Tamandua tetradactyla: one gene and its partner. The protein of the gene in region 2 interacts with the protein of the main gene of each other region in a biochemical or structural test. Links are inferred from orthologs where the notes say so. Each region holds a gene or a part of one and is shown on either strand. Other genes may lie near its edges.

Region 1 (8,641 bases), on a different chromosome or scaffold from region 2:
TTAACTTAGTTCTCTCCTCTGACCTCCAGACTTGTAAATCTAATTGCTGATTTAATATTCCTACTTACTCATCTAATTCCATTCTCTTTCTCAACTCCCACATTCAACCCATCATCAAGTCTTACCAATTTGTTTCAGAAATGTATCTAGAGTTCTACTTGATTCATCTTCACTGCCTTCACCCAGATTCAGATCACCATCATCTCTCATCTATATAAATTCCAAGAGTCTCTTTCTTGATTTTCCTGCTCTCACTCTTCTCACTCTTGCTTCCCCCCTGTCCAACCCAACAGAAGAGATATCTTTAAAAATAAAATATAATTCATTAGGTTCCCAGTACACTTGGGAAAAAACACAAAGTCTTTATTACCATCTTCATGATCTGACCCTAGCCTATCTTCCTAACTTCACCTCAGGCTACTCTCTGCCTTCTTCCAATTTCCCCAAGTCACCAAGTTCTTCTTGGCTGTTTTATTTTTAGGTCCTTTGTAAATTCTATTCTCCTTAGAATGTTCTTTCCCCAGTTCTGTCACATCCTTTAGGAATCCATTTAAATGTACACTTTCCAGACCATCCTACCTCAAGTAGATTTCCCCTATTAATGTCTCAGCACCTGTTTGTCAACTTCACAGCATTTGCCATAATTTGTAATTATACATTCATTTGTTTTCAACCCTAATTACCTATACGCATGAAGCAGGCAAGAACCAGGAATGTTTTGTTCAACACTACACTTTAACAGAGTACCAAGTAAATATGTTTTGGATGAATACATAATTCATTACACTTATTTTGTAATTTCTAATTATTACTTTTTACCTGTCTCCCTCTCCCAAGAAATCAAGATATTTTCAAATGACTGTTTTAGTTTTTAATTTCGGAACTGTTAGAAACAACTACAGCATCAGCCCTCCCAGTAGCATGTAATTCATATTTATTAAACTGAACTAAATCCAACCCCTAAAAGATAAGCTAAATAACTAGATGGGAAGAAGTTGGAATTTCTAGGAAGATGGATGGTGGTATACCATTCATCACCATATAAAATACAGCAGTAAAGGCAAGCTGCTTTGGGGGAGGGATCAATTTTAGACAAGTGAGGAATTTGCAGAATGTGAAAGATTTCCAATAGATAATTAGAAATACAGGGCTAAAGTTGAGAGAAGTCTGAATATGTGGAAGGTAATTTTTTTTTCTTTGGCATGGCAGGCACTGTGAATCGAACCTGGGTCTTCAGCATGGCAGGAAAGAACTCTGCCACTGCGCCATCATCTGCCACCCAGTGGATGGTAATTTTAAAACTTAAGGTCAAAAACCATTTTGAAAATCTTCAAGATTTTTTTTCATAGACCTCCTGAAATCCATCCACGGTCTCCCCAAGGTTATGAATTTCTGATAAAAATGCAAACTGAAAATATGGAGATGGAGAACATCAATGAACAGTCATAAAAATAAAGGCAAAGAACCCACTCTTCACATCTGCATTTGTATAGTTTTATCTCCTCTCACTTGTAATTGCCCAGTCATCAACTATAAAATGGGAATAACAATATCTCCCTTACAGGTTCTTGTAAAGATTTTAAATGGGAGCATTTATGGAACTCTGTAAGCTTAGTTCTTGAAGTTCTTGGTTTTACTGGCATCCATGTTGAACAAGACAAAACTCATTCTGTAGTACAGATTGTCCTCATTATTTGCTGATTACATTTGTGAATTTGCCTACCCAGAAAAATTTATTTATAACCCCCAAATCAATATTCATGGAGTTTTCCCATTCTTTCATAGATGTGCAGAATAGTAAAAAAAATTGAGTTCTTGATGCGCACATTTCCAGCAGAGGTCAAACAAGGCAATGCTCTACCTTCCTGTTTCAGCTCATATTGTTAACAACGTCTTTTTCATGGTTTATTAAGTGCCATGTTTGTCACATTTCTGTGCTTTTTGTTGGTGATTTCGCTGTTTAAAATGAACTCCATGTGTAGTGCTACAGTGCTGCCTAGCACTGTGATGTAACTCACAGAGAAAATATATTTGTTAGATAAGCTTTGCTCAAGCATGAATTACAGTGCTGTTGGCCATGAATTCATTGCTAATGAATCAACAATATAAATGAAGTAATGTGTCTTTAAAGAGACATACATATAAATCAAAGTAATATATTGATCGGTTGAAGAAAACGTTGCAACCAAAGGCTGGCTTGAACCTAACCCTGTATTTCCCCTAGGAATAAAGATTCAGTATTCAATAATTAGGAGTTCTCAAGGACTTTATAGAACATAATTACCACAAATAATGAAAATCCACTGTAGTCATCAATGTCCCAGTCTCATCTCAACTAGATTATAAAGCAGGGGTATTATCTTCATTTTTATATCCTAGGCAGAAGAATGGTACTTTGCAGATAGTAAGTGTCCCATAAATACCTGATAAGGAAATTAAGGCACAAGTTCTAGTCATACAGTTTAATTTCCAGCTTCCTTTTGCTAATGAGTCATGCTATATGAGCACAGTGTAATAAACAATACTGGGGAGGGAAGAGGAAGGGAGTTGAAAAAGATGAACATTAAAAAAGTTCCTCTCCCTCACAATTCACAAAGATTGTATTCTTAAGGTACTGCAATGTCAAATCAGAGCATACATTATGTTGTTTCCGTTTTTAATTTGAATTAGTATAAAACATTTTAGTAGTATTCCTACAGGTCTCAAATGAAAAACCAAGTAACTAAAAACAAAGAAGAAAGAAGCAAATCATACCTCAACAAAGCCATTCGTACAAATAGGTATTAAGGTTTGTGCAGTTCTGCAACATCCAGGCAGAAGAAATTAATTTAGCTACAGAATATTTCCAACGTTTACCTGTAAATTAATTCTCTGCTACATGTATTCATACCCCCCTCAATTTAAATACGTGGGCGTTTGCTTACTAGGGGAATTCCAGGTTGCGCTTTCAGCTGTTGAGCTTCCCTCAATCCCCTTTGCAAAACAGTTTCACATATTTGCTCCATTGCTTCGGATTCTTTTTCTGGTCCAGCTTTTGCTCTACGTTGGGTTCACAGCCTAGGAAGTATGACTTTTTAAAAAAGGATGAGGATCCCCAACAACGGAGCTTCGTAAGCACAGCCGGGAGGTAAAATCATGAGCGGGTAAGACGCTGACTACGAAGAAAAGGTCTACTGGACAAAGTTTCAGAAACCTTAATCCTGTGTTCAGCGATTCGAAAATGTGGATCAACAAATCACCGAGGGATCACTTCCAGCAAGGTCCTTTGGTCGCAGGGCTCGTCGCGATCCTCCAGAGCCCAGACCTTTCGCTCCTCCCACCCAGAGGCTCTTCTCCGGGATCCGGTTTCTGCTTCCCTCTCCCGTGGGACTGCAGCCCGCCCCCGCCCACCCCCGGATACCAGCGGCGCCTGGGCAAGGTTGCGCTACTCACGTCCTTCTTCACTTCAGTCAGGTCCTCCTCGGTGAGGGACAGCACGGTGGGCTCCATGGCAGAGGCAGGAGACGGCTCTTCTTCCGGGTCCGGGAGCTTGGCCTCGCCGCCCCTCCCAGACCTGGGGGCTTCGATAACCTCGAGAAGAGGGGGAAAGGAGAGGCGGAGCGGGTCTCGAAGAAGAAAACCGCCCCTAGGAAAACAGTGGCTCGGGGGTCGCCCTCTGGGGGCGACGGCGCCTCAGACCGTACGCGCCGCGACGCGGAGATCCAAGCCAGGCTCCTTCCCTGTCCAGGGAGGCTCAGGCGCAGGCGCCGCCCGTTCGGGAGGCTGGGCCTTCGGCAGGACCCGCCCCGTCACTACGACAGCCAATCAGCCCAAGCCTCCCACCGGAGCCTTTCAGGAGTGGCTCTACCCGCAGCTGACGTCACCTCAAGCTACACCTCCGCAGGTCATTTGCATGTGGCCGGAGGCTGGCCTCCCAATAAGGAATCGTTTCCGTGGGTGGGATCCGTTGCTGCTCAGCTGGCTGGCACCGCCCACGGCGGCAGGCGTTTCACGCTGGGTGTAGGTTTGTTAGTACCTTCGGGTTCCTCCCTTTTTTCCTGACCGGGTTCTATAATTTCCTGTTGCTGTGTTTGCCCATTCAAATGTTTAAGTTGTTATTACACACAAACACACGCGCACACACGGAACAGAACTGCAGTATTAAAGAAATTTGGGGAAATAAGAAAAAGAACCACCTCATTCCCACCACTTTAACATCTAATTAAACGTTTGCATCCTTCTCGGTGGCTGTTCGTTTATAAACATGTTTTTCTTCATTCATAAATCTGTGGAGTGGAGTTAGATCTACTTCATGGGACTGCTGTGAGAATTAAATTATACATGGAAAGCTGTAGGTACCTGGCACGGGATAAGCACTTATTAGTATTATTTTGTATTACTCAAGCATTTAGTTGGTACTTACTAATATGTTCCTGGCAGCTTCTCCTGTAAGGGTTCTTCCACATTTGGGGGTGGGGGAGATTGATGAACAGTAGTTATTCCCAGAATGGTATTCCACTCAGGAATAGAGGAGTATGCAAAGCAACCTGAGAAATGTGGGTGAGGAGCTGAGAATAGAGGTCTACGCCCAAGGAGGAAAGTTGGATGACATACTAAATAAACTGGATAGTTTTTGAAGCCACAAGGGTAGGTCAAAATGAGGAGACCAAGGACAAACTTGGAAAGCCAATGTTTAAGGTCAGGGGAAGCAAAAAACCAGAAAAGAGGTGTTCCCCAAAATGCACCAAAACATTTTTAATCACAACCCAAGGATTCTGCTTTTTTGCATTAACATTATGTCATGTCTTTTTCCACATTGATACAAAATACAAGTACAGTTTTTTTCTGCTTGCTAAATCTTCTGTTGTCTAGGCCTAACGGAAGATACATATTTGAAAAAATTTATGTAAATTATTTAGTATATTAGAAGATGATAAACAGAAAATAAAATGGAGAAGCAGGATGAGGCTTCTCATTTACAATAATTTACAATAGTGTGTCTGCTTTAGTTTCCCTTGGCTCCTCAAGCAAATACCATGCAGTGGATTGGCTTCAACAATGGAAATTTAATAATTTACTGTTTGAGGCTAGGAAAAGTCCAACTCAAGGCAATGCTTCGTCTTGAAGACTCTGGGGTTGACTGCCAGTGATCCCAGGTCTGGGGTCCCTGTTCCTTATCTCCTGTTCTTTTGACTTTCAGTGTTTTGCTTCCCATGGCCTTCTCTCTGTGTGTCTGCATTACATTCAGCTTTTGAAGGAGTCCAGTAATCGGATTAAGACCCATCTTGATTGAGTTGGACCGCATCGTAACTTTTGTAACCTCATCAAATGTCCTGCTTCTAATGGGTTCACACCCACAGGAATGGATTAAGTTTAAGAACTATTTGCTACTGGGGTACATAGCTCCGGACCATCACAGCAGCCAATGAAGACCTGCCTGAAAAGGTGGGATTTTGGTTAGGATTTGAAGGAGGTGAGGGAGTGCATATTTGGAGAAAGAGCCTTGTGAATAGAAGGAACAGCCAATGAAAGGCTCCGGGGGTGGCTGGGATGGAGTCAGGGGTGAGCAGAAGATGAGATTCTTGTGTTCCTTTGTAAGAGTTTTCTCCCACTTTGCTGAATCATACGGGCTTACTCTGAGTCAGACAGGAAGCTGCTGGAGAAGAGTGGTGTGATCTGATTTATGATTTTTGTTGAGGAGGAGGGTGAAAGGAGGAGACCAGTTAGGGGGTCTCTTCTTTAATCCAGGCCCTAGAGGTGGTGGCTCAGACAGGAGAGCTAGCTGTGATGCTTGTAAAAACACAATTTGAAGAGAAATGAGGAAGCACTTTGATTTCCTTTAGGATCACTCTGACTGTAGAAGCAAGAGCAAAAATGGAGACCAGCTGGAGGCCACTGTAGGGATTTAGACAGACAGGAGAGTGGCTCTACCAGGTGGGAGCAGTGGTGAGTGCTGCCCCGTTGTTCCCTTGGCATTATTCCCAATCTTCCATGGTTATAAAAAAATTATAAAATTTTTTGCCTACATATTTCCTATGCTATTCTCTTTTGAATTATTATTTTCTTTGCCTAAATTATCAGGAGGCAGGAGTATGCTCCCAACCAAGGAAATGAATATTTTATGGCTTTTCAGATGTATTTCCACAGGTTCTCTCCTAAAGGGTTGTGTGGGAATGAACCGCACCGGCTTTGCTCGTGAAAGAGGTGATTTCCCCCCAATTAAAGCAAATGATTTGCCAGTTTGGTGAATCCCATTTGGTCCAGTCATTTTGAAGTTGCTGTTATACTGTTCTTTTTAAAATGAAATATTTTAAACACACCAAACAGTAAAAAGAGTTATATTACAAACACCCCACACTCATTACCATGAATTAACAAATAATTGATATTTTGACACCTTTATTTCTGTTATGGGTTTTGACTATCAAATGTTAATGGTAGACAACTCTGATTCTGACCCTTTCCTTGTCCTTGACCATCATCTCTCTCTCTTTTTTTTATGTTATATTTCTCTTTTTTTATTGTGAAAAATAACGTATATACAAAAAAGTAATACATTTCAAAGCACACTGCAACAATTAGTTATAGAACAGATTTCAGAGTTTGACAGTTCCACAATTTTAGGTTTTCCCATTTAGCTGCTCCAAGACACTGGAGACTAAAAGAAATAGGATTTGTATTATTCAATACAATAATTCAGCAGTCATATTCATTTGTTAAATCCTATCTTCTCTGTTATAACTCCACTTTCTCCTTTGAGCCTTCTCCCAATCTTTAGGGGTATTTAGGCTATGTCCATTCCAACTTTTTCATGTTGGAAAGAGCTGTCAATAATATGAGATAGGGGAATGGCACTAGTTGATGTTTTGGAGAGGCTGGCCCCTCTGGGTCCATCATCTCTTTTCTGACACGTGCAGCCATGCCCTTCTTCCATCCTTGATGTTCATTCACTTATTCATTTATTCAACAAAAAGTTGTGCCTATTAGGTGCCAGTAATAGGGTTGGTGATGGACTGAAGAGCCGACGTTGGATGACACTCAGGTGTGGAGTGAGAATCTTAGGAATTTTTGAAAGCTGAAAGTTTAATATTTTGCTTTCCAGGTGTTCCAGCCCAGCCCAGCCCAGCCCAAAGACCAAAGAACACAGCAGAGAGTTAGATATGGGTTTCATTTGGGACTTACTAACAGGAAACGATTCTTTCTGATGGTGACTGGTCAGGAAATGGAAATCAGTGATCCCCAAAACAAGAGGAAGAGTACCTTATATGATTCAGCAAAGCCTGGCAATATCTGTTACAAAGAAGCTTCAGCAGAGTCTCAGCCAGTTAATTACCAACAGTGATTAGGGGAGGGGAGTTTTAATTGCTTTAACAATAATGTCTGGGCTCTGATCACACCGGCTGCTGCATACTTAAGCCTTCATCTCCCAAGGGAGGGGGTCCTGACCCTGGGCCACCACACCAGGCCATGTTTTAAGGTTCCTGGGTCAAATCATGTGTCAAAGGGGCCGCATCCTAATGTCAAGTACCTAATCAAAGAGCTGGTTTGTGGCAGGCATTACAGTTCTCAATTCTGCTTTCTTTCTAATGTATCACATTTCATAATATGCAAACTCATTTCCTCTTCTCTGTTAAATCTCAGGGTCAGACTGTAGTGAAGGTTGGGCATATTTCCAAGAAAATAGCCCCGCTTATTCCCTATTTGCAATATTTTCACCTCCCCATCCCCTAGTATGCCCTTCATCCCTACCTCTGTGTCTAGGTTTCTAGGTACACCATCCTGCCTTGTGCTGTGAAATACAAGGCATCTGATAAATGTAGTGTGAATAATACAGTTTATGTGCTAAGAAAATAAGGTGGCATATCATTGTGGTTAAGAATGAGGACGTTTGGCATCTGACAGACCTAGGTTGGATTCTGGCTTTGCCACTTAATAGCTGTATGACCTTGAATAAATAATAAACACTTAATGAAAAAAATAGCTTTTATAAGAGTGTAAAGGAAGAGATGAATGTAATCAGTCACTTTTGACTGATAAGGTGACAGGAAAGAGGTGTATTTTGGTTGGCCAAGTAGATTTCAATAGGCGGAACTTTTGTTGCTTAATGATTTATTTCAAAAGTTTTATTAAATATCTGCCAGGTACAAAATACTATGTTGAACAACAAATTTTATTCCAGATGATTGTGAGCTATAACTTTCCTATAACCAGCTGGAAGAAAAAGTAGCCAGTTCTGAGGCATCCCTGTGTTTTATTTGCAGACAATATTGGTGAAATTCCGAGATAGAAGCTCACGGACTTGGTGAACGCTCCAGATGATCCTGCCCCCAGGAAGGGCTTCCAGTTTAGGAAGGAAGGACCCAGCATGAGAATGCTCTGAGGACATTCATAGTGCACCCCAAGATCAGGGCATTGCTGGGCTTGATGAGGAAACTGGATCCTTTCCTCCACCATCCTGGTTGGTTTGGAGACTGCAGGTAGACACCTGGTATTAGAGGCTTGCGTGTTTCTGGGACATGGAGCCCTGATTATCGTCAAGGGGAGGATATCGTCAATATCCTCATAAACCCACAGGAGAACCAGCGGGAGAGGCTCGATCTCCCAGTTGTACAACTGCCTGGGGAAAAATGCTCACTAACTATCATTAATTGCTGTAACAGTC
Region 2 (8,329 bases):
CTTCAGTTCTGCCTTCTTGTTATGTCCTATCACCCACAGAGGCCTCTGAACTAGGGACTACTTCTGCCCGGAACTCTCCTCCCATTTTCTCTACAGGGCTACCTGGCTAACTGCTACCAGTCCCTCAAATCTCAGCTCAGGTGTCACTTCCTGGGGAGACCTTTCCTGACCCCCTACTAGATCCCACCCCCTCATATAAGGTTGCATTGCACTGTGTCTTTCTTCCTTGTTGCACGTATCATACTTATGAAGTTACATTGTGATCAGTTGATTAATGTCTCTTTTTCCCCAAAAAGGTTTATTTTAATCACCATTCTATTCATAGCAGACACTCAATAAATATCTGTGGATTGAATAAGTGAATGACTTTGTGCATCTACCATACGTAGAACATCATGACAGATGTTCTGGGGGAACTAAAAGAAGTCCAAAGCCAGACACAGCCCTGGCTCACCAGGAATTTAAACAGCCTTGACAAGACACACTCCTACACACAGTGAGGATTTGCAAATGAGTGGAGCTGGAGGAATTCAATGGAAGGACTAACTCCCACGGAATGAGGCAGTCAGTGATCCACATCCACGGATGAGGGTTTATGGGGGAGGTGGCCTGGAGCTAGTCCTGGAGGGACGGGAAGAATTTTTGTAAAGGAGGCAGGGAGTGGGAGGCTTGACCCAGAAAGGGCTCAGCAAATCCACCTGTCAGGAGTCAATAAAGGGAGGTAAGGTTAGAAAGGAAGGGGTCAGACCACGGGGGTGGGGGTGGGGAATCTCAAGCAACAGACTGAGAAACCCAGCTATCGGCTTTTAAAAAATAAAGAGAACATTAAGCATTTTGAACAGGGGAAGGCAGTAATCCTAGAAGACTAATACAGAGACATACACAAACACACACTCCAAGCCCACATCTATCAAGCCAGAAACAAATTCCACTTGGCAACATCTGAGCTCTCCATGCCCAGAGAGCAGACGGAAGTCATTTCAAGCCAGAGGTGACAGACATATGGCACATTTGGACAGAACTCTTTTTCAAAGGAAACCAAGATGTCTCTAGTTAAGCTGCAGTGAGATATTTGCTGTAGTCAAAAGACTTTTAAAAGCACTGGCCTGTCCAGAGGCACCCAGCCCAGTTATACGTGGTGCTGGAGCATAATCTGGCTCTCTGGGTTTAAAATGAAGCCCTTGGCTAGACTATAATCTGGACAAACTTAAGCAGGTGGTATTTCTAAGGCCTCCTCAGCCAAGGATTTGCTGAAGTACTAGTTTCCACAAGGGGGGTGAAAATGTTACCACCTCTGCCTTCCAGCTCTGGATCCCGTATTCTTCCATGCAGTCAAGAGCTGGCAGGATTCAGGGCAGGGCCTAGAATGTCTCCCAAGTCAATGGCCAAGGAGAGTGGCTCTCTGGAGTGACCCTCTGCCATGGCTGGCCAGCTACCTCAACGTCTTGCAGTGCTGGCTGCAGCCAGGCTCTTGGGGAGTAGAGTACAATTTGTCATCCCTTTAGTCAGAAAAGGTGCTCAACAGCCCCCTTGATTAAAAGGATAGCTGCCTTTCTTCAAGGAATACAATGGCTCTGAATTTTGGAGCAGGAAGTTAATTTCAGCTATTTGGTGAGTGACTTAAGTCAGGGTTCCTCTAGGACAATCGTCTCCAAACTAGGTTTATGCACCCCAGGGGTTGCCCAAGATAATCTAATGGAATCGAAAAATAAAAAAATAAAAAATAAATTAAGCTCTTCTAATATTAACTGATGTTGGCACATTCTTTAGGTCATTTGTCAGAAGGTAACATGCCATGTTTGATATATCCTGAGGAAGGAGGCATTCCACAGGCAGAGGGGTGCCAGGGGCCTATGGAGACACGCTGCAGGTCATGTGCGCCCTGGTGAAGTAGCATTATGGATGCATTATCCAGTCTAAGTAAAACTGACAGTTACAGATTGATTCAGGCCCCCACCCTCCCTCAAAGACATGTTCAAGTCCTAAGCCCTGGTCCTGTGGATGTGAACCACTTGTAATCAGGATTTTTGAAGATCCTATTGAGACAAAGCCAAACTGAAACAGGGTGGGCCTTAATCCGATATGACTGGAGTCCTTATATGCAAAGGAAATCTGCAGATGGTATCAGGTGGATGAGGAGACAGACTACCAGGTGGCAGGCGGAGACTGAGTTCTGGATTACCAGCAAATCACTAGGCTCAAGTACTGGAGGAAGCACCGCCTGCAAGAGATCTTGACTCTGGACTTCTTCCCTCCAAAACTGTGAGATAATAAATTTCTGTTGTGTAAGTCAACCAGCCTGGGATAGCTCTTACTGCAGCCCTGGCAAACTAAGACAATAACTCTCAAAATGAACAAATAGCATAAAGAGATTCCTGCAGAGAACTTCAGGACATATCATACCTACACAAGCAAGGAGGGACATGGTAGAACCGGCACTTCTAGCACAAGTAGCTCATTATAAAGAGCAGGAATAAAAAAAATGAGGATCTGATGAAATCCAAAAAGAAATCAGTCTAAATAATTCAAAATTCTAAATCTGAAGTGTAGATTTTCATCCACTATCCTTAATGACATTCTTAACTTCTGTGCAGATCCAGGTATTTCACGTTGTAAGATACTGTAAATGATACTGAGAAGACATCACAAATAGCAAAATATTTTAAAATATTATTTCATTACCGTCATCCTTAAAATTTTCCTATTTTTGGGTGCTTTATAATAGTTATATATTAGCATGTAACAGTATATGACATTCTAATACTTGCATAAGTTTAAAATATACATAATTGGAGCCAAGAGCTTCACTTTATTGTTATTATTATTTCACTATCTATTATGGTGGTGCGGTCCATTAAAATTGGAGACTAACCTAAAAAGTCAGCTTAGCTGCCCCTAGAAACCCCCTTCCCAGTCCCTCTTCTCATTCACTGCTAAGAATTCCACCACCAAAGGCTAGCACCATTCACCTACCCAGAACAGTGTGGGGTAGAAATTTGCAGTGCCAAGGGGCAGTGAGAGAAGCGTGCCCCCCACCCCCACCCCTTCCCGGGCTGCACAGAGCCCCTACCTGATTGTGCCATCGGATGACGTTTCCAAATCCCCCTGTCCCAAGTCGTTCTTTCATTTCCCAAGCCCCACATGTCTGGGTTGGCAGGGAAGGTGACCAGTTCATTACTGACGTCCTGATAACTCTGTAAGCAATTGGGGATGGGGGGCAAAGGGTTATTATGGTTAAGAAAAAATGGGGCAGGTCCCTGCTCAAGGGGATGGAGAAGGTAAGAGATGGACTTGCCCTTTAGCGTGGGAGAAGAAAAAAACTGAACTGCTTTTTACTTAGCGAATAAACCGGGATTTTTTTGGTGTGGTTTTTTGTTTTTGTTTTTTTAGTTTGTGTTTTGGTTTTGGTGGCAAACTTTTTCTCTCTCATCACCTTCCATCCTCCCACTCTCGTGGGAGGAAGTAAAGAGGAAAGTCACTCAAGGGAGATGATGCCCTACACTCCATGACCTCCAAAGGGGATCCTCGGCTGACCTGCCCGCATCCTCCCACAGGGGACGAGAGAGTCTTGTTTCTGGGCTCCCCACGCTCACCTGTTTCTTTGCAAGGTTCTTTACAAGAATCACGGCTCCCTCCCAATGCCACCATCCTCTAAGCTGCCACCTGGAATCCCCAGGCCGGGGCTGTTCTCCTGGGCCTCCCAACTCGAACCCGTGGCCCCCCGACTTTTAAACTCGACAGAAGTTTCTTCCAGAGCCTCAAGTGAGGATGGAGACGGACAAGTGGACTTGGACAGAGGACCAGCGGGGTCTCCAAGTGGACACGACGCTCTCGGTCCCGCGCCCGCCCGTGGGACTCACCTGTCGGCAGGGACGCGGGGCGGGGGAGAGGCTCCCCGGGGCTGGGGAGGCGGGGCCTGGGGCAGCAAGACCAGGGGCTCTGGTACCACTCAGAAGACATTAAAATGCGGGAATCTCAAACCAACCAGCAGCGCGCGACTTCCTGAAACACTTCCTGCTCTGACGTCATGGGGCACGTGGGCCGGCGCACCGCTCTTAAAGGGGCCGCGGCGGCGCGTGGGCTCCGCCCTCCCCCCCCCCCCCCCCGAAGCCTGCCTTTCCCCAGGGCTCTCCGCCCCACGTGGCCCCCGGGAGGGATGCGGGTGGCTCCTGAACGACTGGGCGGAACTGAACAGAACTGTGCTCCCCGAGATAAAAGAGTCTTCAAACGAACCCCAGCACGCCAGTGTTCTCTATAGGGAAATGCCGGGAACCTGCAGCGGTGTCCAGGGCAGAAGGGATGGGGGATTTCCTCTGCCCAGCCCTGCTAGGGTAAACCTGACCTCGCTTCCCAGACGTGGAGCAGGTGGAATTTCCCCCGCGTCCCCGCTAGGATTGATTTAGGGACTGTTAGCCAGAATCGCTGTTGCCCTCCTGGGCTCCTGCTGCGCCTCCCGTGTCTGGAGGTTCCTGTCTCTGTATCAAGAATGACAAATCCCAGCTGTACTTCTCAGCAGTGACACCTCCCTCCCCGACCACCCCCTCACCCCCACACACACAAAAAAAAAGAAGAAAAAGAAAAAAAAAAAACCAACCCTAGTAGTATAAAACTGAACTCGAGTTTCAGCTCCAGTAAGGCTCTCGACCCGAGGTTAAGCGTTCATTTCCTCCGCACTTGGCATTATAATAAGGTCTTTAATATTAAGTTTCTGGATCTTGTGGCATTCTGTTGGTATACAATGGAGTTGTGTGTGTGTGTGTGTGTGTGTGTGTGTGTGTGTGTGTGTGTGTGAGTTGGTATATTTAATCAAGAAGGAAAAAGGGATTAAAGGAAACCTGAAGGTGGTAATAATAGCTCACATTTATAGAGTGCTTGCTAAATGCCAGGTGCTTTCCTAAACTCTGTACTTAGATTTCGGGTCATTTAAGGTTACTTTACAAATTAAATAATACTGCATTATTATTACCCTCACTTTGCAAATGAGGAAACTAAAGCATACAGAGGAAAACTCTTCATCTCAAAGCCACAGGGCTAGTAAATGGAAGATGTGAGATTTAACCCCCAGTAGCTGGTTCCTAGGCAGATGCTCTTAATATTTGATTAAAAATAACAGGCTAAGAGGTTCAACCTAAGGAGGCAAACTGGGTTTTGAATTCAGATACTGCTGTCAATTAGCTCGAAGAATTAAGGAGAAATTATTTAACCACTCCAAGCCTCCATTTCCTCTTCTTTTAAATGTAGGCAATATTAGGGTGAGTCACATGAAATTGCCATTTTTTAAATAAATCAAACAGCATCAATTAAAGTTCAGCAATTTTCTTTGGTCCAGCCTAAGAGCAGCAAGAGGACAGGAAGGCACACAAGTGGCAGAGGAGGTGCCAGTTCAGTTTCCCTGAGGGGCCAGTGAGGTAATGGTAACGGTAGTGCCTGACCCAGTGGACACTCCTGTCTTCCTAAACAGGGTCCAAGGTTGCAATTAACTTTGGGGAACATATTTCAGCTCATTAGCACAAAGTAATGATGCCTGGCATATTCCAAGTGCAATATACGTGTTTGTTTAATAATTAAATCAAATTAAACAAATATTTATTTAGCACCTACTTGTGCTGAGCTCTGCTTAGGATATGTATGACATCATGAAAGCTTCTTTTTAATCCTGTCACCACTGATAATCACTGTCCCTGAGAAATTTAGCAAGATATCCACTGACATGCCCAAGGTTGACTCTGCACCATTTTCCTTTGAGTTCTCATTCTGCTGAGTCCAGAACAGCTTGTTCTTCAATTGAACATAAATCTCTTTGATAAAGTCGCATACACTGCTAGTTTTTTAAAAAAATAAGTGCATGATGAGCCAGGAAAGAGCCTGTGAATTTTATCATGTCCCAAGATATTTATCATCTTAAACTCCTTTTTTCCTTCCAGATAAGATATGCCCAGAATACCGTGTCTGGTATCTTTCCTGCTCTGGAGGATGTGAGCAGACTGCTCATAACAAGACATTTTCAGATGGCAGCAGAAAAACGTTCCTTCTTCTTCCTGCTTTGAAACCGAGTGTCCTAGTTAGCAGAAGCTATAGGATAATCAAGAAATACTGGAGAGGGCATAGCATAGCTCTGGGCACCGCTGACCACAGGGAATTCAACCAATGCAAGTCTCATCACAGACACTTAGAATCTTATTGAGAACATAAGACCCACAGAGAGCCAACAGGTAACTGGAGATCAGAACAAGGCAACACAAACTCAGGTGCTAATTTGTTCTGCTGTAGAGGCAGTATAGTAGGTTAGTGATGAGGATAAGGTTTCTTAATATTGTTTCATTTAAAATAAAATCTTATTCCAGAGGAAGTCAAAGACAATGATTTTCTTAAGCATCTTTTTGTAGCATCCTTTGCGAAAACCCTGCTGCTATTGGAACACTGCCTCTCACCTTAACAGCAGCTGGGCAAAGCAACCCTGAGTTCCTTTGAATGAGGAAAGGATTGTTTTCTGAGCCACCTGAGAGGAGAGTAGGAAGAGTGAGCTTAGAAGATATCAAGACAATAAAATAGAGCACTCCATCTTGGGAGGATTTTCCTGGCACCCTAGTACCAAGTTTGTTTTCTCTCAGCCCTGCTGAGGACTCTGCAAGTCAGGGCTTGTTCCTTCAACAAACAAAAATTCTGCTGCCAGAAAGGTTGGAAAAACTTGTTTTGTTGAAAGGAATAAAGAAATCTGCCTTTCTTCTGCAAGAGTTGGTGGGAGATGGGGGGTGGACTGGCAGAGACTGAAAAGGAGAGTCAACACAGCTCGGATCTTCAGAGCTCAGTATAAGAACTGGCTGCAGAAGAGGAAGGAAAGAAATTGCAGGCAACTCCTATCTCTGAGAACAGGACCTGAGCCAGTGGTGAAACTTGGAGAGAAGCAGAGTCAGCCAAGTCATCATGCTTCAAATTTTGGGTGAAACACTGAAGGCTGGAAACTCAGAGCCCTGGGTCACCCTCCCTGGAGGGTGGCTTGGGAGAGGAAATCATTTTGCATGCTCCCTTCACATTTACACACACATGTTTTTATTCCAATAAAATCCATTTAAAGAGGAAGCAGTCACTAAAGGGCCCATCCTTTGTGGTGGAGAATCTGTGGGTATGAACTGGGCACATCAGCTGATAGCTGTGTTCCTTCATCACCTCAATTCTGAGCTCCTCCTTTGGCTCAGGGATTTTGTTCACTGCTGCATCCCCAGTGCCTGAGGCATAATAGATGCTCAAGAAAAATTTACCGAATTAAATAATCAGTCAACCAGTGCAAAGACCCGTAATGCTGCACTCTTTAGCATTGGATGTACGTGGACCCTGGAGTCTGAAAGAGATCTGGGTTTTAATGCTGACTCTGGCTTCATGGACTCAGACAATTTACTTTACCTCCCTGAGCCCTGGTTTCTGTATCTACAATCTACTCTTCCTGGTTATGTGATTTAAGTGAGATAATAGATGTAAAGAGTTTAGGACAGAGCCTGGCACTTTTTAAGCCTGCATGATTTTTTTGATGCAATAGCCTAGGTGTCAGCAGAGATTCCTGTCCTTATGATTCAAGTAAAATCGCTTCAAACCCTCCCCTCCCCTTGATGTAAAAGACCCTGTACCCTTTCTCTTTCCCATCTCTCCAGGAATTGGTGTAAGCGGTGGTGGAGCTGGCCTGTGGTGGCGCATGAGGCTAGTGGTATGTTTCTTACTCAGCCAATTCTGACTCCTACTTTCACTAAATTCCCAAACACCCTTTCCAAATAGGTCCTCCTCCCTACATGACCGGTTATTTTGTCACCACACTCTCCCCATCTAGTCCTTCATAGCACTCGTCACTACTTTTAGCATGTTATTTGTTTACTGTCGGTTGCCTGCCTCCCAGCAGTTAATGCTGTCAGTCCCCTGTCTATTCTAATTCCGCTGTTCTAGCATCACGTCGTGCTGGCCACACAGTAATAATAACAGTAGTAGCAAACATTTGACTGCTCAGTAGGTGCTCAGCGATGATGTGTATATTGAAGGAATTGGATCAGTCTATGTGTCATTTTTCATTCCTGGGCCTGTGATTTCTGTTCCTTATCCAGATGTGGAAGTCAGCCCTACTCCTTGATTTTATCCAATAATCATTTAAAGAAGAACTTCATATTCAACAGATTTTACCGGAGGTTTGGAGCGATGGAAGGGTTTATATCATAGTGCCTGCCACAAACACATTAAGATCTAATATCCGACAACCTCTCTCAAAAGTTCCCCTTGTCCAGCTCCTGGGCCCCCACCCTGCCCAACCCCTCTCCACTCCCTCTCCTCTCCAGCCCCTCAGGCCTCC

What was found.
Region 1: the proteins of IKBKB (region 2) and BCL10 form a complex in vitro, tested with the Homo sapiens proteins (2 studies listed by BioGRID, with this or other methods). The link is inferred for Tamandua tetradactyla from reciprocal best matches to the Homo sapiens genes IKBKB and BCL10.

Annotation. Positions count from the first base shown.
Region 1 is NC_135337.1:39,769,055-39,777,695, reverse strand, and holds the start of BCL10 (B-cell lymphoma/leukemia 10), read right to left. Parts: upstream 3,758-8,641; 5' UTR 3,490-3,757; coding exon 3,433-3,489; intron 1-3,432. UniProt on the Homo sapiens protein: Plays a key role in both adaptive and innate immune signaling by bridging CARD domain-containing proteins to immune activation.
Region 2 is NC_135329.1:17,816,985-17,825,313, reverse strand, and holds the start of IKBKB (inhibitor of nuclear factor kappa-B kinase subunit beta), read right to left. Parts: upstream 4,014-8,329; 5' UTR 3,861-4,013; intron 3,684-3,860; exon of another isoform or gene 3,594-3,683; intron 3,195-3,593; 5' UTR 3,176-3,194; coding exon 3,071-3,175; intron 1-3,070.